4 linked regions of the Caenorhabditis elegans genome follow. The protein of the gene in region 4 interacts with the protein of the main gene of each other region in a pairwise test. Each region holds a gene or a part of one and is shown on either strand. Other genes may lie near its edges.

What was found.
Region 1: the proteins of R144.3 (region 4) and egl-43 interact in a two-hybrid assay, tested with the Caenorhabditis elegans proteins (one large-scale study listed by BioGRID).
Region 2: the proteins of R144.3 (region 4) and gmeb-3 interact in a two-hybrid assay, tested with the Caenorhabditis elegans proteins (one large-scale study listed by BioGRID).
Region 3: the proteins of R144.3 (region 4) and F16B12.6 interact in a two-hybrid assay, tested with the Caenorhabditis elegans proteins (one large-scale study listed by BioGRID).

What each region holds. Positions count from the first base shown.
Region 1 is NC_003280.10:9,952,883-9,958,678, reverse strand, and holds the start of egl-43 (Zinc finger protein egl-43), read right to left. Parts: upstream 3,495-5,796; 5' UTR 3,494-3,494; coding exon 3,374-3,493; intron 1,669-3,373; exon of another isoform or gene 1,667-1,668; coding exon 1,565-1,666; intron 1,510-1,564; coding exon 1,379-1,509; exon of another isoform or gene 1,332-1,378; intron 92-1,331; coding exon 1-91. UniProt on the Caenorhabditis elegans protein: Probable transcription factor, required for migration of the hermaphrodite-specific motor neurons (HSNs) from the tail to the gonad primordium during HSN cell differentiation. Required for phasmid neuron development.
Region 2 is NC_003281.10:3,766,315-3,771,299, reverse strand, and holds gmeb-3 (SAND domain-containing protein), read right to left. Parts: upstream 2,801-4,985; 5' UTR 2,753-2,800; coding exon 2,612-2,752; intron 2,397-2,611; coding exon 2,222-2,396; intron 2,172-2,221; coding exon 2,075-2,171; intron 1,894-2,074; coding exon 1,697-1,893; intron 1,642-1,696; coding exon 1,453-1,641; intron 1,383-1,452; coding exon 1,051-1,382; 3' UTR 972-1,050; downstream 1-971.
Region 3 is NC_003284.9:14,099,935-14,108,670, reverse strand, and holds F16B12.6 (DUF7747 domain-containing protein), read right to left. Parts: upstream 6,356-8,736; 5' UTR 6,313-6,355; coding exon 6,247-6,312; intron 6,078-6,246; coding exon 5,748-6,077; intron 5,694-5,747; coding exon 5,491-5,693; intron 5,444-5,490; coding exon 5,153-5,443; intron 5,088-5,152; coding exon 4,763-5,087; intron 4,716-4,762; coding exon 4,551-4,715; intron 4,502-4,550; coding exon 4,225-4,501; intron 4,159-4,224; coding exon 3,986-4,158; intron 3,727-3,985; coding exon 3,227-3,726; intron 3,172-3,226; coding exon 2,943-3,171; intron 2,893-2,942; coding exon 2,803-2,892; intron 2,751-2,802; coding exon 2,610-2,750; intron 2,557-2,609; coding exon 2,375-2,556; intron 2,321-2,374; coding exon 2,160-2,320; intron 2,085-2,159; coding exon 1,405-2,084; intron 1,358-1,404; coding exon 992-1,357; 3' UTR 758-991; downstream 1-757. Other genes in the region: F16B12.7 (Protein kinase domain-containing protein), read right to left, coding at 1-126.
Region 4 is NC_003281.10:5,019,775-5,024,332, forward strand, and holds R144.3 (C2H2-type domain-containing protein), read left to right. Parts: upstream 1-2,214; 5' UTR 2,215-2,272; coding exon 2,273-2,342; intron 2,343-2,388; coding exon 2,389-2,427; intron 2,428-2,517; coding exon 2,518-2,674; intron 2,675-2,822; coding exon 2,823-3,000; intron 3,001-3,044; coding exon 3,045-3,193; intron 3,194-3,245; coding exon 3,246-3,333; 3' UTR 3,334-3,437; downstream 3,438-4,558. Other genes in the region: wip-1 (WH2 domain-containing protein), read left to right, coding at 65-160, 420-562, 689-916, 965-1,034; mdt-11 (Mediator of RNA polymerase II transcription subunit 11), read left to right, coding at 1,452-1,589, 1,639-1,753, 1,802-2,115; R144.13 (Coenzyme Q-binding protein COQ10 START domain-containing protein), read left to right, coding at 3,550-3,578, 3,627-3,819, 3,880-3,942, 3,994-4,200.

The sequences.
Region 1 (5,796 bases), on a different chromosome or scaffold from region 4:
AAGTTCGCCGTGTTCTCGAATATACTCCTCGAAACCGTTTAGATTGCTGTCTTCACTGCTGCTCTTTGTGCAGCTTTGAGTACTGTCCGGCCTGAAAATGGTTGATTTTCGAAAGGTTAAAAAACAGTGCCTCAAAAAATATAATACGTTTTTAATACTATCATATAGCAAAACCGTATAACACAATTAGTTTGGCTACTCGCTTTTTAAGTTAGGCAGTTTTGGAATCTTGGATGTTATTGGCTTTATCAAAAAATGTAAACACGCATGAAGTTATGTTTTTTTGAATATTCCGTAGTTTCAATTTTTGTTCTTAAAATTTACAGAACTCTTTTTTAATGTGGTGAATAATGAAAGTTCATGACTAAAATAAAAATATGTTTTCATTTTAATTTTTAGCTTTTTCATAAACTTGATAGTTGAATTTTGTGTTATTCTTTCTAGTGTAAAGTGCAATGTCTAGATAGTTTGATACGAATAACGATTTAGAAAAATCTATTAAATATTAAAATTAACCCAAACTTTTCAAATCTAATCGGGCAAGTTCAAGGTCTAACGTAAAAATTGAAACCTAAACTTTTGGGATACCAAGGAATCATCGTCTAAAAATTTAAGAAACATAGAAAAGATGGTAATAACACAAATTAAGTTAGCGATATAAAGATTTCGGAAAAAAAGATAAAAATTTATATTTTCCGCAAAAAAAACGATTGATTCTCAAAAAAGATGCAAAATCTAGATCCGCTTCCTTCCCCCGATGCACACCCCTCAAAATAAATCAACGATTTCCTTTGAGGGGCTCAAATACCCAAAAAAGGGCTCCTCCGGAAACCGACACGAATTTGTCATCCAGAAGCGGTAGAATCTATATGTAAATGAACGGGACACAAAAAAAGCGGGCGGGCTTCACTTGGAGATGCTGAAGGATGTGCTCTTATCGGAAATCCGTTACTTTCACCGCGCCAGTGAAAACTATCGAGAAAACGACGGGAGTTAGAAAGTAGGACGATGAGAAGAAAATGACAGAAGATTTTCATGAAGATTCACATCTTTCTTCCGTTACTTTTCCGTTAGAAATCGAGATTTATTTTCGAATATTCGCCTGTGTAAGACCGACAAAACCGGTTTGAAATTTTTTAACGCTGATCTCAACAACTCAAAAATTAAAGGTATACTCAATCTGCTTTTTAGAAATTGTTTTATGTGTAATTCAAACATCCTTCTATGTATAGCAACACAGAACTTCAAATCATAGAAAAAATTCCGGAAAATTACAGTTTTTGCAACTTGTTCAGTTATCGTTCCAATTTCAAAGGTGAGAAAAATCATACCTTTTTAGCATGCTCTTTTTCTTGTTTCTTTCAAGGGTCATACTCACCGATCTTCATCTTTTAACAAAATTAAATTCTCAAGATCATCCTGATCCTCCTCATCACACTCCTCTTCGGACAGTCTTTGTAGAAGAAGACGCTCTCCAATATTGATAATCTTACTGGTTTGTAGAAAAGTCTGAAATTTTTCTTATAGTTAGATAACTTCCTCATTAAATTTATCTAATAATCACCTTTCTATCCTCCTGCCTCATACAAATATTGGCATCTTCTCCGTCATCAGCTTCCTTAATCAGGTTCAAGATGAGAAGAGCATTCGAATCATTCGGTGTAGCCTAAAATAATAATATTTATAAAATTAATGTAAGTGATTGTTTTTAGTACTTTTTCTAAATGATGAGTGTAGAATCTAGGATCTACATAAATCGTAGTAAAAAAATGTATGCCTGCCTGAAAGGTGACCTTCGACGGCCTCGTGATAACATGGATTAAAGAAACGATTGGCACGCTGGGTAGGTTTCTCTATGACCGCTTGTAAGACAACGGTGATGTCTCTTCGGACTTAATTTTACAAAAAATGGACACGAATAGTTATAAAAAATTAAAGTTTCAAGAATCCCTGTATTTGGCGATGCGTTCTTCAAAACTGCATATCCAAATTTTAAGTTTTCACTTCATTTGATATATTGCGGACTGGAAAAAGATGACGTCACGCGCGTCACACCGTGTGACACCAGTTACAAGACTGCATTATTTTTCCTGCAATCTCTGTATATTTTCCCACAGATCTTCGCAGAAACAGTTTAGTACCTCAACAAGGGTTTTGTTGGGCGTACTGGGTTTCCTCCCTCAATTATTTCACAAATCGCACACATTCTAAACTCATTCTCGAAAAAATCTTATTTCATTTCGGCCAACTCACCACTCTCTGTGCTCCGTGAGCTTCAGCCCAAAAACCCATCAATATCTAATAAGAAGAAGCAGGAGCTGTCGCTCTCTCTATCGCTTCTGGAATCTAATTTTCCCACTGTGAGAGCAGGTGGTTTGCCTTCACCAAGCAACCATAAGCAATCAGTGGCTCTCTCGCAAAAGATGATGAACTTTTTCTTCAGTGGCTTCTGATTCTGAGTGACTGCCGCTTGATGTGGTGTGCGTGCGTGATAAGCCAATCAGTGTGAGAGACCCGTCGCCGGCTCTAGATGATAAACAACTGGGGGAAATACACTAATTCAATGATGGAATTGTGACGAAGTTGGATAACGACGACAGCTACAGTAGGAAATTGACGGCTTGATCAACGGATTCAATCCCTCTCCTTTATTGATAGAGCTCCTCAAATTCTTCTTCCTATGGAAACCTAGCAATTATCCATTTTCCCATCAGCGACTGTATTCATCAATTACAGTCGATCATCGAGTCTCTTTTCCCATCTCGGATCCCCCATCCACCAAGGCACCAGGTGTTCCGATTTGTAAATCCTAATGTAATGGTTACTAGTGTGCCCCCAAGGTTAACAAAGTGGTAATGGACGGGGGGAGCGGGAAAGGTGGAAAGACAGGTGTAAGGAATTTTTGAGGAGAAGAAGCAGGGAGGAACACATGGCGCCAAACATTTCAGGGTCCCGATAATTGCGGTTTTGGGTTCTGGGAAGAATTTGTAATTCGAACGTTGAATCATTAGGAAAGGATTTGAAAATGTTGGCGAAGGTACTGTAGATTAGGTAGATTAGGCACCAAGGTATCAATTTAAAATGCTTGTAAAAATATTTTAAAAAAAGTTTTGTTAATTTAAAAAAGTCATTATTTTATCAATTACAACCTAAAATTACTGTTATCATATAACTACTAACTAACAAAATATGAGTGTAACATCTGAAAGCTTATTTCATAGGTTACTCAAGCTATAAGATATTTCAGTTCAAGCGACCTGTATTTTTTCCGGTGGAGTTTTTTAGACGCCCGGGAATAAGCTTATACTTCTTTTTCTAGCGGACACCTCTAAGACAATGTCTACGGCGTAAAAATTGTACACCAAAAGCTCACCTTATCAATCACACCGATGGTCCTTCCGAGTGCAATTTGAGTTACTGCAATGAGCACATTTCCATGTAGCTCATCCTCCTTTACCTCAACACTCGTGAGGAAGTCTGTGTCGATGCTCATCCTGAAAACTTAGGAAACTGTACGTGGGAAGAAACAAGAACTGTACAAATTACAAGAACAGTTTTGGGGCGAAAGATGAGTAATACATCTTGTGAACGAGAACAATGCAACGAAAAAGTTGGATATGGCTGTTCAAGGCTGGCTTTGTCATTGAGAACGAACAGGGAGGAGGAATGGTACGGTAGATGTACGAATTTGGGATAGGAGTTAGGAGTAAGCTGAGAGATATTGGAGGGAGGTGTAGTTTGGGAAGAGATTATTATTTTATTGAATTTTTTAGTAGATGGTGAAAAAGTTTACAAGCCCAATTCATTTGGTAGATGAACTGTAGGAAATTCGTTTGAGATTTTTCATGACAAATTTGCTAGTCAGTTTTAAAATCAAGAAATTCTTAATTTAGAGATTATTTTTTGAGGGTTCTACACCACCACAATGTAGGATACAATTTTATTGAAAAATTGACATATGAGAAGATTGCTCTTCAAAATTTGACATTCTATATTTGATCCAAAAACTCGAATGTCTCTCCAGAAGTCATATATAGTAAAAACGTCAAGATACTTTAAGGATACTTCAACTAACCAGAAAAAAAAGAAAGGAAGATGGAAAGAGGCGCCTTCCATTTGTGGATGCGAGAGGAGCGAGAGCCTCTCCTGTCTCAAAAAGTGGGCGGGTGGAAGAGATGGAAGACGACACGCCCATCAGCCAATCGGTAGAGTGACAGGATGCTTCAGGTGAGGAGCATCTTCACTTGAAAAGTTGCAAGTTTCGAAAACCCCACGTTACTAAAGACTATTTTAATATAGAAAATTCTTAAAGTAGAATAGCAATTTTTATTTACTTTCTAACATATGTACTTCGATACTTAGAAAAATAAACAAAAGTGAAAATATCTACACCTACTAAATTAGAATCTATTGAGCATTTCTAGTAGAAGCCAAGCCGTTTATTTGTCGGCTGAATGTCTGTAATAAGTTTCCTGATATCATGAGGTGAAAGCAGAAGACAAACGTTTTTTCCAGGAGTAGGCTATCGCGAGACTCCATCGAGGTCGGCTGCGAGTTTACCGAACTGCTCAATAATCAAAGACCAACTTAAAAACTATAACAACTATTGACTTAGTTTGAATTTTTGGAAGTAAATTGCTGGACGGAAAATACAACAGGGTGTAGCAGTTTGCCGCAGCTTTGAAATTATACATTTGAGGACAGTCTAGAACCATCCAAAAAATCAGTGACCCCAGAGTTTCCAGTAAAAGCGAGCAAATGGGAGCTATTTTAAAGTAGAGGTGTGCCCCTCCACCAATTGTGGTCTTCTTCTGACGGATGTGCTGCGCTTTTCTTCTTCATGGTCCTCATCTTTTTGGAAGAAGGGACGGGACAAAATTGCCGCTTCTTTTCTTCTATTCTTTCCGTTTTTCTTCTCCTCATAGCTCCAGGTGAGCGCACCGAGAAGAGCTTTTATATAGGAGTAATAAAAGGTGGGCTCGTCCATTCTACAGAAAAATAGAAGAATGGAAAAGTTGTGAGGAAAATGGAAAAAAAGTTAGAGACATTCAAGTGATACAGTATTAAAAGTGTCATAAGTGTAGAAAGAAAACGGTCACATTTTGAAATGAAGAATTGTTGAACAAGAGTAAAATATTTCGAAAACCTTGAAAATTTAAAGTTATGGTGCTCATCACTTGACACATGATGTGCCATTAGAACTGATAATAATGATATGATAACAAAAAATGGAACTTTTTTTCTGAATCGGAGGCAAAAAAAACCTCGCGTAAGTGACAATTTCCCATCGAATGAGTGTTATCAGATAGTTTGGAAATTTTGTGAAGACGATTTTTCCAGAGAATTTTCCAAAAGGTAGGCTGCCTACTGTCTATTCTTTTGAATTTTAACGTGAAGTTCGGTGCTTGAAGTTCACAAAGTTACGCTTACCGTATTTTCCTTATTAGACGTGCACCCCCATCACCATATTTTGGCGGTTATTTTTTTAACTACTAAAATATAGTAATTTTGCATGTTTTTTGTTAGTTGACAATTTTTAAAGAAAACCAAAGACAACAGAGCTATTTGAAGTGGAAATAGATCTATATATTTGGTGGTATGCACACGCGAAGGCGGCATTTTTAAGCCTATTAATAGTAAAATCTAGAGGGTAGCAAAAAGGTAGGATGACGCATCAGATGACATTATTTACTGCCATCTACCCAAACCTAAAAGTCTCGAAGTCACTTTCACACTTGAAAGCATTTAGACGTCCATTTTACGGAGATTTTAAAGAGGCACCCAGTCGCTGCTCCG
Region 2 (4,985 bases), 1.3 Mb from region 4:
GAGATATGGTCAGGGTACTGTAGTAGTACTGTAGGAACAGGGAGCTGTAGTACTGTAGAAGTACTGTATGAATGCTGTAGGAGTATTGTAGTTTGGAAAAAAATTGAGTTATTTATATGCCTGAAATTGGGTTTTTTTGATTGAACTGGAAGCTCCTGGCATCTAGAAAATTTTTTTAATTAAATTCTGAAAGCGCTTACAATTTGAAACAAGTCCCCGACGAAACAGTTTCAAAAAAGTTCATTTTAAGGCAGATACTAATTTTCAAAGTTATTAAAATTAACAAAATCACCCAATAAAAAATGTGGTGACAACTTCGAGACAATGTGTTGTTTAGCGTAAAATACAAAAAAAGTCGTGCGTTGAATGAGAATAAAAAAGCGTTTTGTGCGTTTGGCACAGTACCAGCTCCCCTTTTCGTATCTCACCTTTTCGCAGATCCCCTTTTTGCAGATCCCCTTTTCGTTCTGCTCCCCTTTTCGTGGGGCCTCATCTATTTTTTCGTCTGTCAATCTATTTTTTCGTCTGTCAATCTATTTTTTCGTCTGTCAATCTATTTTTTCGTCTGTCAATCTATTTTTCGTCTGCCAATCTATTTTTTCGTCTGTCAATCTATTTTTAGTCTGTCAATCTATTTTTCGTCTGTCAATCTATTTTTAGTCTGTCAATCTATTTTTCGTCTGTCAATCTATTTTTCGTCTGTCAATCTATTTTTCGTCTGTCAATCTATTTTTCGTCTGTCAATCTATTTTTTCGTCTGTCAATCTATTTTTTCGTCTGTCAATCTATTTTTCGTCTGTCAATCTATTTTTTGTCTGTCAAGTCGTATATTAATTTTTAATTTTTAAAAATTATCAAGATCACCCAATAAAAAATGTGGTTATTTATATGCCTGTAGGTCAGTTTTTTTATTGAACTGGAAGCTTCTGGGAAATAGAACAATTTTGTGATTAAATTCTGAAAGCACTTAAAACTTGAAAAAATCTTTTATTTAAATACTAGTACTGGTACGAACAGTACAGAACAAAAAATAATTATTATTAAAATCTATTAAAGATCCTCCAAAAGATAACTGCATCTAGGTTGATTATCCAAGTCGTCAGCTTCAGTTTGAGCATCTTCTTGATATTTTCCCTGGTCCTCCATCATTTCATTTTGCTTCTTCTGTTCATTCACATTTCTCTCGATCGATTGCACTCGATTCACAATCGGCTTCTGGATACCAAGAGCAAATGTGGCACGAGTCAGAACAAATGCACTATTTTGATTCAAGGATTGAGTCATTGCAGATTGTTTCAGATTGATAGCACCGGCAATTATGTCATCACAGAATTGAGAAATGAAGCCGCTTCGCTTGATTTGAGACCAGAAACTCATTGGATCTGGAATCATTTGGAAGTTTATTTGATAGGTAGAGGCAGTGAAACTCGAAAATATGCAAAAACTCCTTACCATTTTGCAGACAACTGTAAATATCCTGAGCTGGGCTGCACACAGGTCTTTCTGGAGCTGGGGATCTTGTTGAGAAAGCTGGCTGGAAGAACTCTTCAAAAACAAGCTGATCTTCTGATTCAACAAAGTTGATTTCCAGCTTTGCCTTGTTTTTCTTGCCTGCTGGACGCCCACGACCTCTTTTCTTGACTGAAAAAATAGGATTTCCTTAAAATTAAATGCACCATGATTTTTAAAATATTACTTGGCTCTTCACTAATTTGTCCACTACTTTGCTCCGTTGGCTCAGATGCATCATCTCCGGAAGCTAGAACATCTTCGAGGTGACGTTTGTTAACTGGAGCTCTGCCCGTTGAGTTCATGTAGTTGCGACTTTGGCACTGTCCATGACAGATACTCTTGTGATTATAGAAATCGATGGTTTTGTTCTCCAATAGTGTTCTGAAATTTAATGAATTAAAACTGGAACGTTAAGAATTAAACGTGGCTAGCAGTCCCAAGCAAAAGGTTACGATTAAGCCCAAACCTAAGCCTAGCACATAACCTAAAACCGAGGCCTAAGCCTAAGCATACGCCTGAGCCTAAACCAAAGCATACAATTTATTGATCTTTCTGCACTCACCTCAAGCTAACATTCTCCACACGAATACACGCCTTCCAGTCTTTCTGTCGCCCTTTTCCACCAAGTTCCGTAAATTGTTTCGGAGTCAGATACTGTGCTGAAATTCCAGAATAAATTCATTCTCTCACATTATAAAAGCCACCATACATTCATATTCGATGCAAGCCTGACGAATTCCGGGGCACCTGAACAATTTGAGATGCATAATTCCTTTGACATATCCACAGGTAACCGGCACCGTGGTGGCATTTAGAGGTACAATTGGTGTCCAGATATGTTCAGATGGAGTATCCAGGTAAGTATAGCTGAGTTCCGATGCTTGCTGTAATATTTATTTGTTATTTTCGAATTGCTAATTGGAGCCAAAATGGCATTTTTCGTATCTCAGACAGCAATGTAGGTGCATTTGAAGTTTTCAAACTAAATTGAAGATTTTTTTCGAGCCAAAAAAGTATTTCCGAGACTAACAAGACTATTTCAATTTTTGGAAGAATTGTTTCCAAAAAAATTGTCTCAAAATTTCACATCCCAACTCACATCATACATATTCTCCTGAACGCGTCTCCCGTCTATCTCGAAATTTGGATCACTTGGAACCAGCATCTCTTCGTTTTTCATCTCACTGGTTGATCCGAACTCGGGTTGAGTAGAGAATTCGAAATCATCGTCGTCACACATTTTTCAGGTAATCGATGAATAAAGATGGGCGACCCGACGCGACACGATAATTTCTGACACGCAACTAGTTTTCCGCCAGCTTGGATCTGTTGGCTTCTCGCGTGTTTTTGAATATTTTTAAAATAAATTAATGATTTTTTTTTTGAAAAGTTAAGGCATTTCAATGATCAAAAATATCATTTATACTGGAAAAATTGCAGAGAAAAATCCAAAAAGTATTGTGGTATCGTAAGCCTTACTAGGGACAAACAATATGATTATTAAAATAGATGACTGCAGAAAAATTAGTTTCGGAAGAGCATTTTGAACTAGCAAAAAAATGTTTTTCATAAGAGTTTTTTTAAGTTCTTGCGAGGCCCGGTAATTTGCATGGAAGCTTTTTTTTTGAAAAAAAAATCAGCTTCTAAAATTGTTTACCCAACTAAATTCAAAAATTTCCAGATTTTTTTCCAGTACGTTTGTTGTGAAGAATTACACAGAATTCAAAAAAATGCTCTGCAAAATTATTTGAAATGGGATTTTTTCTGAAACATCCGGTGTTAAACATTTTTACTATTTTTCTGTTACACAGGGTAAATCATCCTCCACGCCATCCCATTACAATGAGCACTGTATTTGAGCATATCCACATTCCATTAAAAGTGGTGGGTGACCCGGACTTGTACTTTTACTTTTTGAAACCGCAATTCAATGATCTAAATACCCATGAGAGGCCCGATAATGAAGGTGATTTTATACTTTTTAACGAACAACGATTACCTCATTCGTCATATGACTGGAGCCTGGAGCTAGCTACAATTTTTACATTTAAAATGTTTTTTTTTGTTTTGAAAATTAACTGTTTGCTTGTTTTTTTTCATGTGCAGTGGAGAAACATCTGGAATTAATTTTTAGATATATTTTTATGTTCTAGCTAAGATATGATTTTTTTAATTTTAAAATATTAATGGGTGAATAGGGGAATACCTATTCAATGAATTGCGGCTGTGCATGAAAAATCGCGAAGTGGAAGTTATATATTTTAAAATTTATGAAATTTCCTAAATTTTCAAAATTGTTAATTGAGCAGGCGACATTGATTGTGGGCTCCATCTCGGCATATCCAGGGTACTTACGCAATACTGGCTAGTTTATTGTAATGGTACGGTACAGTAGCGTTACTAAAGCAAGCTCTTCTTGTTTTTTGACTGAAATACTACAGTTAGGATCCACGCCCAAAAAAACTGAAACTCTTTTTTTGCTCATTCCCAGTATCAAAAGTAACAAACTTTAATATGATAGTATCTTATTTTGTTTTTGTTCAAATAGATGGTTGATATCGTAAAAGCGATAGTGGGAATGCTTGTTTTTCAAGTTTTAGTTTCGAATTTGGTTGTTACAAAACTAAGGTATGATAAAGATGTTCTGCTTTACTTTTTTGGCCAAAAAAGTATCAAAAAAAAGTTTGAAACACAGATTCCCACCACTTTCAGCCTGTCTTAGAACAAATTCCATTTTCTCTTGCTGATAAGCTGTCTATGAGAGAGACACTATTTACATTACCTCAATATACTTGCCATAATGTTACTTGGTTTTGAAACTTAATGAATCATAATACGTTTATTGTTGCATTGAGTCCCCCCTTTCAAACAGGCGGTCCCCCCTACCTTATGTGTCCCTCCCCACCAGCCGAACCTCCAATCGTCTACAACTCCATTCAACTTTTCTTCGTCCATCTCTCTGTCTTATCGCATTTGTCCTCTATATGAGACACACTTATCATAAATTGGTGGGCGACACACAGACACTTTCAATTGTCACTATTTCGGACACGTCTCGCGATGTTTCATTGGAGCTCATTGCGCGTTGTTTTTAGAGTTCCGGTGTAGAGTGTGACATTATAGTTAGATGAAATTCAAATCCACGAGTTGTAAAGTTGTCCCATGTTTTGGACAAATGTAAAGCCACCCAAAGCTTTTCAAGTTAGAAAGTTTCAAAAAGTTGCTGAAAAACTGCTACAGAATCGCAATATGCCGAGTGTCATGTGTAACTCGGCACGTTGGTATTTGAGACAGTTTTTGAGCAACTTTTCAAATCGTTCAATAAAACATGAAATTATTTCTAGAGAGCACAAAAATGAATCTCTATATCTATATAAATTTCCAGAACAAAACTTCTGCTCAACAATGAGCAAAAAATTAATTTTGTAAATGTTTCCAAAGTGCCAAAAAATGAGCCGCGCATCTCTACCGGG
Region 3 (8,736 bases), on a different chromosome or scaffold from region 4:
CTTAATTACTTTTTCTTTGTTCAGTTCTTCCATATCGTTTACAGCAACAATACTTCCATACGATCCTTCACCAATTAAGTAACTTACATAGTACTCTTTGACAACTTTTCCTACCAAATCAACCATCTGAAAACGTGATACAGTAATTGTAAACTAATTTCCCTTAGGTTTTCAGCTAAAATAAACATTTCAAAAAAATTACATTTACTATAGAAAAACCGAGAAATTCAAACAAATCGAAAAGGGAGAGTTTGAAGAAAACCGCGGAAAGTGTAAGTTTAAAATTAAGAAATGATTTATTTCAAAACTGACATTTCACGTGAATGCGTGAAATACATTTGATTTAATTTTTGACTTTTTTTCAATTTCTTTGAAATAAATGGCTATCATTGAAGACCGGTGAGTACCCTGCACATAAAGTGACGTGTTTGAAATTTTTTACAGAACCTGGAATCTAGGTCACAGAGTTGTTTGTAGTAACGGACTTGAAACATTAGGGATTTGCTTAACCAAATTTTACCTTTCAGATGTTTCTGTTTCGGGTGAAAATACAGACCAATAACTGGTTTTCATGGGGGTTGTATGCTCCTTTGCAGCTGGGGCAAACATAAAAAATTACGGAGCTTGGAAAATTTGGCAAATCTACTTTTTTGAAATTTACCGTGTTTGGCAAATTTGCCGCACATCCATGCTTTGCACCTTACATTAAAATGTTGTTATTCAGATATTCAGCCGAATACCTTTTTTTAAACTACTATGCATTATTATAACTTCATCTGTGTCAGTGTATTATGTTTGATTTTCAATTTGCTGAGAACAGAAAAAAGATCACCTTGTCATTCTATAGTGGCAAAAAACATTTGGTGTAAAACGGAATAATAGATAGATATGACATAACACGGATTTTAAAGGGTAAAACAATATTATAAGATCAATTTAATTTACAGTTATATGATTTTTCGAACAATGTCTGTTCCAGTTAATCATAATTTTAAACCATAGGATCTTCTGGGGCTTCAATAACTTCATGTTCCAAATGGCCTTGTACTTCAGGATGTTCAATGTGTTCCTCGTGTCTTCCCAGTTCCTCGTGTCCGACAAGATGATTACCAGGATGCACAACAAGTTCTTCTTGCATGTATTCGACACCTTCCTCCACAATCTCTTGGTCGCCAGAGAAAATGTCCACGTGGAATGTCTCATTGATCATTTGGAGCAAGCGCTGCTCGTTCTTTTCGTATAATAGTCGGAACAAGCTGTCAAAAGTGTCATCAATGCACTCCGAACCAAACTGTTTTTGCGCAATTCGCCAAAGAGCATCATATCGCTGAGATCCACGAACAAATCCAGCAGTAGTCTGAAAATTGAGAATTTAAAAAACGAATCAATTATACAAACACTAACCACGCTTTTCTCCAAAAATGGATTTCTTCTCATCATTGATTGCCCATAGACGTCTCCAACTTCTTCAATGTGCTCGACAATCATGTCTCCTCCAATCATCATTTCGTGACCCATGATTGTTTTTGGAATTTGCTCTTCAATCACCACCTCTTCCACAGTCTCAGTTTTAGCCGATGTCGATGGTCCTGCACCATCAGCTCCGGTCCATTCAGTGACAAAAGTGTCGTTGTCAGCATGAGAACCAGAAAGTTCTCGCCGTTTGAGACTGAACAACATATTTGGACTAATATGAATTCCATGTTCCTGATGAATTATCTTCGCTGTTTCATTTACTGGGGCAGTTTTCAGCAAATGGAACACATCCTCTCTGATGTTTGATGGAAGGCTGCTGAACCATTCATCAGTCGAAGGTTGAATAGTCTTCTGAATTGGCTGTGGCACAGCTCCGGGCTCAGTGTAGCTGTACATGATCAAACCGTGTCCATACTGGTTTCCGTCTCGTTGCACATAGACAACTTTTTTGCGAAGCCGTGTGCAGCGGGGCAATGTTGCAGTGTAAATGTGCAACTGGAATTCAATCGGATCCACGGCCAGAGCATTCCCCTTGCAGACTCGCAGTTGATTGTGACGATTGAATCCGAGCGGAGTTTTTGATGATTTCGGCCTTTTGGTTATTCCATCTGAAACTAATGGAGCTTGCGGGAAGTTACTCAACACGTCTATGAAAATTTTTGTAAAAAATTCATAAGACTTACGAGGATTAGAGCAAGTGTTTTCTGACCACGGAGTCAGTTTATCTGTGGTCAATGATCTAAAGTTGACTTCTTCTCCGTTCACAAAAAAGACAAATGTTCCTTTTCCAGTTATCGATGGTGGAAGATCGGGAACTTTTGTGTTGAGGCATCCGAGTTGTTCACTGAAATTACTTTTTTTAAGCTTAGCTTTTCTATTTTTCTTTCAATCAACTTACACCAAATCAGATTGATTGACCAAGTACTGAATCTGTCGGTTCCGGTCATTCCAGAATTCCAAGTCATCGAGCTGTAGGTAAAACGTCCCATCAGCAGCAGTCTCTGCAGGCAATATGAATGGGCAATCTCTGCTCTCTTCGCCTTCCGAGACATCATTCATCAAATCATGCTGCATATGATTCTGTAATTATTGTATTGTTATTAAGTCAAAATCTTATGATGTTAGAAACATACGGTTCTAGCGTAACTCCTCTTAGTGAGTGGCTTGTATTGGCCAGCGTTGAGACGTGGGATGTTGCCTTCATGGTTGTAGTCGTACATAATCAATGCATGACTGACAACCATTTTTGATTGGGTTTCCATCAGGTAGTAGATCTGAAAACCAAATTATTAGTTTATAAAAATCAAATAACATTGTTTAAAACACCTTTTTTCGCAGTCTAGGCTCCTTTGGATTAATCGAATACAAGTAGACGAGATGGAATGGACAAGTTTTGTAGTTGGTATTTTCTTTCAGCTTAAAAACAGTTTACGTTTAAAACAATAGTGCCAGTAAATATTCCATACCAAAAACGTTGAATTTTGAGGATCGCAAATCACTCCAAGCTTTCGAACTTTTGTACGATAGCAGGTCGGCTGATCAGGCGTTCCGTTGCGAGACCATGGTGAGAAGTCGTCGCGATTAATGTCATGGGGGAATATGGCAGTACCGGCTACAAAAAAGGCGTAGGCCCTAGAGTTGGTGACCAATGGTGGGTGAGACGGTTTCGTGTCGTTCAGGACACCACGCTCCTCACTGAAATATTTGAAAATAGTTGAAAATCAAACTGATTACATTTTCAAGAACTTACACAATGTTCGAATTTGCAATCCATTCGAGAACATGATCCATGACGGTAACCAACTTTTTATGACGAACAGTCAAGTATACGTGACCCGTTGACAAAACACGGGGCTCATCATAGTATGCATTCGGATTCTCGGCTTTATCAATCGGATCATCATTGAATTCTGGATCAAATCCGTTGTTCAGCGTATCGGGATACGTTAGAAGGTTCTCCATCTGATCATCCTCCTGCTGAACGAGCATTTCCTTGTGAACGTCAACGACATCAACGATTCCGTCATCGTCAACAGGAATCATATCATATGAATCCTGCTCTACCATCATGTGAGAGTGCATGTCCATTGAATTGACCGGCTTTTTCAGTGGTGATCCTCCTGACCATCTACTGTAACTCTTCGCGTCCAATGGTGGGTAGAAGGTTGGCAACGGACCGTCGTAAACAAACTCATACGTGTAGCAGACATTTCCATGAATAACAGCGCCGGCTTGTTGGATATAGAAAACCTGAAATGATTGAAGAATTGCAATGTACAATATTTTTTATGACATTATTTATGACTACTGCACTATAATTTCAGTTCCGTCAACGGTCTGATAATTTAGCAGCAACAACCCCAGGTGGTGTATGCCCTTTCATTTTGTTAAATATTGCACAGCGTGTGGTGTAGATTTACGACGCAAAATTTAAGTACGCAAATTTAAGTACGCAAACTTAAGTACGCAAATGTGCGTCGTGGTACTTGCGGACTGTTGGTTAACTTACCCTCTTTCTCACTCTTTTGCATCTGGCAAGTGTCGACATTGTCTCTACGAGAATATAGTCGGATGGAGTTTTCTGGTCTCTTGATACCATAAAGTGATTGTGAGCTTCGTCCAATATCAAGTTCTTCTTTGTTGACCGCACACGCACTGTCGGTGTTCCTTCGCCAGCGCCTGCTGAAATTTATCAAAATTAAAACGGTTAAACGACCGCATATTGGTGCTTCGCAAACAGCAACTCACGATTAGTGGTCCATGGAGATAAGCCATCAGCAGCGTGGTGAATTTGGTTGACAACATGACAGGCCGGAACAAAATATGCAAAGACTCCGACCGTCTCAATCAGTGGCGGAAGATCTGGGAGGCGATTGTTTAGAGCGCCAAGTTCATCCAGAATGTCAACTTTATTGAATAAATAATCCAGCAAGTTTTTCTTGTTCTGAGCCCATCCCAATTTGTTCGGACGCAACCTGAGGTAGACTCCAGCTCCACGGGTTCCTTCTATGCGTTGCGGCTCAAACTGAAAGCATAAAATTATAAATGAGGTAACCAATTATATAATTACAAACCGGCAAATCATTGTCAAATCCATCTTGATCATCTGTGACTGCTCTTCGCAGATGATCATTGCCATGAGGAAGGCATACTGGGATTGGGGCATTTCCTGGATTCACATAATCATACAGAATAAGCACATTTCCAAAGATTTGATTGTCACGGGTCAGGTAGAAAATCTGGAAAGAAAATCAATGTTGTGTTCAAATATCTTCAGTTTAGCTACCTTTTTTCTCAGTCTCTGCTCCCGAGGTAATCTAGCGCTGTACTCCGTTAAGTGATACTCAGCGAGACGTGTCTCATGCTTGACTGTCTTCAGCTCGCCATTGAGTCGAGCCACCGGGTGTCTTCGAACATTTGGCTTGATTGTGTTTGGGCCGCCAGTCGTGTTCTGATGATCATTTGTCACACTCCACGGACGGAGGTCATCGTTGGAGAGATCTTTAGCATTTTTCTGCTGACTACCATCCACGTAGAATGCGAAGCATACTTTGTCGGTGACAAGTGGAGGAAGACGTGGTGGTCTTGGAAGAAACCATCCTGCTTGCTTTCTGAAAATTTATAATGTGCTTAGATTATTGATATCGCATTGCAACAGTTGTCATTTTTCACTTACATCAACTCAATTTCGTCCGGGTTTGTGAGGAGATCAATAATCCGCTCCTTTCTCAGCAGCTCAGTCAGGCACCCATTCACCACGGTTGCATAGGACTCTCCGCCGGGGGTTGTATCCAACTCTTCCTCAAATAGCTTAATATGCCTTTGATTAGCAGTGGCGGTTCTAGCAGCAACTGGCTCAGTTGGTGGGGCTCGCTGAGCTTTTGAAGCTGGACGGGTCAGTTTCAATTTAACATTGGTCTCCAGCTGCTCTTGTGGTCGACGTGGACGTCCTCTTCGCTTGCTCAATCTGTAAAAAAAATTAAAGTTTTGTCATTACATAATGGATTTACGTACGGGTGCCTTTCAAGATCTGGAGGGTGAGCAAAGTCATTAACACTATAGTCTTCGTCGCTTTCCCTGTAACTTTCAGGTTCAGTTTCAAAAACAGTAGATGGCCCGAGCACTGGAGGTCCTTCGTCATTGTGAGGAACCTCAAATTCCATTGCAACTTCCAGGTTGGCTCCATCAGTCATCAACTGATCATCGAATTTTGGAGTCTGTAATTAAGAAAAAAGGATTATTTAAGAACAAAGGTTTTCTGTGTTTCTCACTTGATTTGAGTTCGCCCTATGTGCAACTGGTGTCTCCATCATTTCAGCAACATGAGGAGGAATCTTTCTTCTTTTCGCTCCTTTCAGCATATCAGGCATCATAGCAGTTGAGTTTTTATCGGTTCCAGTAGATACCTCTGAAACAGCACTGGTCCTATTTGGAGTTCTTGAAACTGATGGAGTCCGTTCGGGAGGTGCAGCAGGCGCTGAATTCACAAGCTCATAGTTCTCGTTGTCGTATAGAGTGTTTTTGCGAATATTTCGCCGTGGTCTGGACGATTGTACAGTGGTGTCCTTTGCAGATTCCTCAGGACACATCGGCAGAGGTTTCTGAATTTTATTTTGTGTTGCATTTTTAGCTTCATCTGTTTTTTTTTGTTTTCACAATTCTCTCATAATGCTTCGCAACTTTAAATTGAGAGAGAATTTTTCAATGGCGTCATTATCGGTGTCTACAGACTAAAAATTGCGGAAATTTTCAAAGCCTAAACAGTTTTACCTCTTCTCCGGCTGGCGTTTCTTCGGACGGTTGTGCAGCACTTTTTGTTGAGTTTCGGCGAGGCATTTCTAAACTGAATAAGTTGAAAATTGACAAAAAATAGCTTGAAATATGAAAAAAAACGATGTGAAAAGAAGGAAAGAATAACTGGCCGGCTGACGCGCAAGGCGAGTGGCGAGAGAGCGCGTTAGATGACAAAACGAGGTAAGAGAGTGTGGTAAACGGAGAGACCGTTCACTTGCTGTTTCGCGCGCATTCACACCCCTCTCCCTATCGGTGTGAGTTGGAGCGTATTTGCATTGTTTGTTGGTGATCGACAATGTTGGGCAATTGTCGAAGAATCAACCCAATAAATTTAGCAGAACTTAAATAGGGCTATGTGGTGAGGATGATAAACTTGTATGTGTAATTTGAGTGACAAGATTCAAAAATCTTACGTATTTTTCTACAAACCTTCTTTAAATTTACAATTTTTGCATCCTAAATGTGGTACTAATTAAATTGGGCGCCCTCCTTTCACAAATAGAAAAGTCTACAAAAAAAGAAAACTCACGTTCACACGTTTCGAGTACAATTGACATTTGGTTTAAGTTGTGATTGCCATTATTACTCATTAATTTTAAAAAAATCCTCAAAGTGCAAGATAAGTAAATTTAGCAACAGATAATGCAACAGATGTGCTCCATAAAAAACTTTTATGGCAAAATTTAGAAAGTTGTAGGGAGATTAATATTTTGACACCCAAGACTACACAAAGTATGTACTTTAAAAACCCATAATTGTTTTCATTAGTAACATTTATAAAACATGTTTAAAAAATTTATTCTAGATTAACTGACAATTGTTAAACTGCAAAGGAGGTGGTTAAAGAAGTTTCACATTGCATCATAGTCTTCTTCGTTGAAGTAGATATTGAATTTGTCGATCAACTTCTAAAATATAAAATTATCATTGTTTTTCGAAATTAAATCAAATTGAAACCTGTTGATCCTCGTCCAAAGAAATGTCGAATGTAGCTTTTGGTGGAACATGCTTTCTGAAAATGGCAGTGAAAATTTTATTTACATGCAATTTTAAATTTTTTGATGAAATCTGATTTTTTTATCTTTAAAAACATATTAAACTAACTTATTTTTCAACGCTTTTGACATAGCTTTATCCAAGACAAACAGCTGCTTCACTGCTTCATAATTGGGTTCATCTTTGAATTCGAGCATGCGGCACGATTGAAGCATATCGTTAATCGGCTGTATTCCACAAAGTGAACAACTTTTTTGATTGCCTTGTTTCAAGTTGAAATAGTTTCTATGAGTATCATCATTGTTCACACTCCGTCCTTCTTTCCAGCACATAGTGAGGTCAAGTATTTTCCTCAAAGAATAAACCAAGGACTCCATGTCATCTCTTCGGGTATTTCCTGTAATTAGATAGTTCGAACAAAAAATATTTGGTTTAACCTTTCGTCTTGGTATTGTTAATAGAATTTTTTTTGAAAAAGCTGAATTCTCAATCAGAAGTGCTGATACAAAAGCAAACAAAAAACTCTTACCAAAACATTGTTCATGGTGCTGATTGGCACTCATGTAAACATAAGTTCCTTTTCGATAATGGCGATTATGTACCTCTCGGTGATTTCCTCTATCATCAAGAAACGATTCTGCTAATCCAAAGTCGATGAGCTAAAGGTATAGTTATATTGACTATATGTGTCAAATTGTTCAAATAATCATGAGTTCACAAAACATTTAAGGTAGAAGTAACATACATTAAGCTGATTCTTTTTTTCATTGAGACCAAATGCAAAATTTGCTGGTTTTATATCACAGTGAACGATCCCCCTATCATGTATTGTGTGAAGCAAATCGATCATTTGTCTTGCCAAGTGAAAAGCTTCCGGAACTTCCAGTTTTCCGCCGTACAATTCAGCATACTCAAGTAAGTTTAATCCCAATAAGTCGAGTTGCAAAATAGTTGCGTTTTGCTCTGTCCGGCGGATAGCAATCTGGAGGTCACGAGTTCAAATCCGGTCTCACCCCCTAGGTTCACCCAGCCTCTATTTGGAAGTGGAGCAATCCACGACTGGATTATCGGCCACAGTCCCCGGCTAGGACGTGGCTAAAATTATAGCCCAGTGGGATCACTAGTGTACCTGAATCCCAGATCCGCAGTGCATATCACTTGAAGAACGGATCGTCCTTTATTTTTAATGTTTTAAAATGACTCCTTTTAACACACTTACCATCACCCTCGATTGACAAAATCGACTCGCTTGACAAATTTTCCCTGAAAGTACAAAAAAAATTAGAGATACACATACATATTTTCAAATAAAAACTGCTGGAAACTTTTTGATAATGATGACAAAAACTGTTATAATAGTCATATAAAATTGAGAGTTAAAAAACATGTTTTCATCAAAACAAAACGTATTTACAATATCTTCAAACTCTTTTTTTGCAATGAGTATCTGATATTTCTCATATTTTATCA
Region 4 (4,558 bases):
TTGCTGTAAAATGTGAATTAATATTTTTTGTCCAATTGTATTTATGTTTTAGTGTTTCTGTCAGTTTCAGAGTGATCGTGAACAGTTCCGAACGATGAGACCTCTACGACCAGCAAATGATGTGAAACCGACAATGTATCGACGAAGTGGAAGTTCAGAGGTTTTTTTTGTTATTTTGTCGTTTTGCAGTGTTTAGTGGTTTTTAAAGTTTCCTTATGTTTTATTCTCCGGAATTATATTGTGCGCCGAGTCTTATAGACTCTGCGTCTCACCCTCTGACAATATGATAAGCATGAGAAGTTATGTAAAGGTAGGAAGAATCGTTTCGCAATAACTAGAAATTTATAATACCACTTTATGATCTAGTTATTTTGTCCAGAAAGGTAACACCAGATGAAATAATTTTTATTTAATTTCAGGATATACCGCAAGCGACGTCGGCAACCAGACTGGCACGTCCATTAGCTCCTCCGCCAGCTCGCCCAGCTGCACCACCACCGCCAGTACCAACGCCGTCCATAGCACAAATGTCCAGCAGATTCCAGTCGCCAGCGATATCACGGTTAGAAAAATTAACGATTTTTTGAATAACAAATAATTTTAAGTTAATAGTTTCGAGTAATTTCATGTGTATGTTATCAAATTGTTTTTTTTTAAATTAAAACCGGCACAAATCGAACATTTTCAGGACTCTTGATGATGCTCCCCCACCACCTCCACGAATCGCTTCAAAAACATCAGTTGCTCCAACATCATCTCGGGCTCCACTTCCCCCGTCTTCTTCATTTGCACCTTCAATTTCAGCATCTCCAGCACCTGCCCCACCTCCACCTCCACCGCAGGCTGCTTCACCGTATCCTGGAATGAAATCAACTGCGACTGTCTCAGCGAACGTTCCATTTCATCCACTTAACAGGTATTTTTTAAATTCATTTTTTTTTCTTCGCAATCTTTTAAATTATAGGTTCCACTTTCTACCGCTTTCTCAACTGCCACCACCACCTAAAGTTTCGTCTGGAAGTATTCGTGCCTGATTTGGTGCTGCCAAAATGCCTTAAACTATTTTTCTCATTCTCACAATGCTCATGACGTTTCTTTCCATCAAAATGTTTGTAAAACTATTGAAAATAGTCCGTCAATCCCCCAAACCCGTTAAATATAAAATTCCCACTGTGATTTGATGCCCCCATTTTCACTTTCCCCTCTTTCATTTATATCCAACGCATTTCTAAATGTGTACCACTCCCGATTCTATTATTTTCTCTTCGAATAACATAACCTGTTTCTAGTCCCATTTTTTCCTGGGTTTCTTCATGGTTTCTCAATAAATCTGTGAAAATTGTCATTCAACTCTTGTTTCTAACGAAATTTATTTGTTTTTATCATTTTCCAAATATCTTCACAAAACATATATGTTTATAAAATATATTTAAAACTCAAAAATTGCAGTTATGGAGCCAAACCCATCCGATCCTGTTCTAACAGATCGGATTCAAGCAATCGTGACGACTGAAAAAAGTATTGATGAGATGATGAAGTGTGCTCGAGAAATTATTCAAGATTTGGGAAAAGAGAAACAAATCGGAAAAGTTTGTTAAAATTTTGAAGTTAAAAAATATAGAAACATATTTCTTTCAGAATAAAATGGAAGATAATGCGAACAATTTCAAAAAACTGATAACTCAAGTGGAAAATGAATTGAGCGCTCAAATGCAATACTTATCGCATGTTTGTGTTGGATCATCACATCAAGGTATTACTCATTGGAAATTATTAATTTATTTCTACACGTACTTTTCAGGATCAACATTCGGTGTACTTCAAAACTCACTTCTCGCTCAATCTGGACTTTCTTCTCTTCATTCGGAACTTTTTCAAATCGTGAGATATCTTGATCCAACATCAGATGAACCACAAACTACAGAAGAAGATGAGGAGGACGGATCCGATGATCTGAATGAAGATGGAGCAGATGGTGCTCCATCTTCGACAGTGACGTCATCGACTACTGATGGTAGCGGTGGAGGTGATGACGCTGCAAGTAGCAGTGCTCCGCGAAGTCAAGAAGAAAGTGGAAGACAAATGACGGATGATGATGACGATATGGAACAATGATCTCATTTTTATGTATTTATTTATTATTATTATTACATTATCGTTTTTTTGCTATGAATTAACATTATCAATTTATCTATTTTTCGACTCAAATGGTTCAAAAATCCAGAAATACTTCCCGATTGTATAAAAGCCATTAAAATGTAATCAACTTCAGATGAAATCTTCATCGTCTTGGAAAAATCGGCCATCCTCGTCTTCTTATAGGAATCCTAAATTTTTCGGAGGTAACTAAAGTTCAAGAGAAATCATTTTTTAATCAAATAATTTCAGCGAATCCCTATCAAGTATCCGATTTGGGTGCATGTCAAAGTGAGTTTTCACTTTTTTTGGAAACAATTTATTCACAATCAGCTCTTACAATTTGTAACATCACAGAAAAATTATAATAATTTTTTTTAGGTTACGGTAACCAATCGCACCAACCTACTGTGTACGATGTAACTTACATTGAAAATCTGCGAAAACGATTCAACAGTCAACAGGATGAGCGGAGAAGTGTCAGAAATAATGAAAAATTGGGAAGCGAGACACGGCATATTCACAGAAGACTAAAAGAGTACGATTTTGAACCAAAAATTAAATTATTCAATTTCAGAAATCATTAAGCAAACAATCGTGTCGAGACCGGGTACAGTATCTTCGGCACAAACATTGCAAATTTTCACGTCTGGATAATATAAATCTTTAAAATCTCCCTTTTTCAGAAATACTCAGCCATGTGATCTGAGTACTCTCACCTGTCTTGTCGGATGCTGTGGAAGATCATTCGAACGAATCGAGGTGCTAGCATTCCACGTGTCATATGCTCATCAAGATGTAATGTCTGCTGAATCAAACAATTTGACATGCTTGTTGTGTGGAAAGAAATGGACGACCGTTCGAGTATGCTATTATCAATTGCTTCTTCTGAAAAATAATACTTTCAGAGAAAAATAATGCACCTTTCACTTGCACATCGAGAAATCGGCGAAGAGCATAACAGTCAGTGTATGCTTCAAGTGGAATCGGTTATTGCTCCAAATGCACCAAAGGCTCGGAGATTGGTAAAGGCTAGGATGGCTTATGATGATAATAGGTTGGTTTTTGACTCGATTATAATTTATTTTTAAATTTTCAAAATCTTTCAGACCGCCTGGTGACCCTAAATATGATGGATTGGATCCCTTCTTGGAAAGTGATAATCCCGAAGATGATGAATATACTTATGACACTTGACGTTGTTAATTTTCATGAAAAATCCTAATAAACGGGTAAATTCTGATGATTTTTTCCCTGATTTCAATTGATCCCTTACAATCGTATAAATCGAGCCACTAAATTTTTGTATCTGTTCTCATGAATTTTTTTTTGAAAAACAAACTTATCAAATAGATGTTATTGCGTCGTCTCGGGCAAAACCTGATCCTAAATCAGAGAAGATTTTCCAGTGAGATGGCATACTCGGAAAAACGATTGATTGGGTAAGTAATTTGAAGTATTTAGACGTCGAAAATTATTTAAATTTTTAGATTTTCCCGGGACGAAATGTTTAAAGTCGTGTCTGATGTATCCGATTATCACAATTTTGTTCCATGGTGTCGGTCGTCTACAGTAACCCACGAGCACGAAAGCTCACAGATTGCGACGCTGGAAATTGGGTTTCCACCACTTTCAGAGAAATATTCGAGTCGTGTGATTCACATTAAGCCATCTGTTGTTCATGTTAGTTTATTCAAAGATTTCTAAGAAGGTTTCGGTTTTCGATATTCTATGTGTTTACAGTCTGTCGTCATAGAAAATGATAATCTCTTCCGCACACTTGACACTACGTTCCGGTTTGGAAAAGTTCGTTCCATCAATTTTTGTTAAACCTCTATTAACGTTCACCTTTTTCAGGGAAAACCATCTGTTGAACGCTCATGTACTCTTCACTATGACTTAGTTTTTGAATTCGAGTCAGCTTTTCACTCAAGAATCGCTCATCTTTTCTTCGATAAAGTCGTAAAAACTATGGTTTCAGCATTTTTGCACCGCGCTGAAAAGCTTTATGGACCACCGGAATTCCCACACTCACCACCGCAGGTTTTACAGTACAAATCTTGATTTTTTTAAACTTAGTGACACTGTAATCAGAGTATTTATTTGTAAATTTTAAATTTTTTTTTCTTGCTTCTTAAATAAAAATGTAGATTCAAACTTTTATGTTCTAATTGAATAAAAACTAGCCGTTTCAGCATCGGTATCCTTATTTTTCACTATTTTTCTCAATATTTTTCTGCGGTAGCGAAACACCGATGTCCCGTTTTCTTCGCAAAATTTCGAATCATTGGGCTTCGCTTCTTCGCTCTTGTCCCGTTCTTCTTTCGTTTGCATCTTTTTTTCAACTCTCACTTTCAAATTAATATGGATTAAAACTCGTTTCGATTAAAATCTTGAAGCGAGTTCATCCGAATTTGTACAA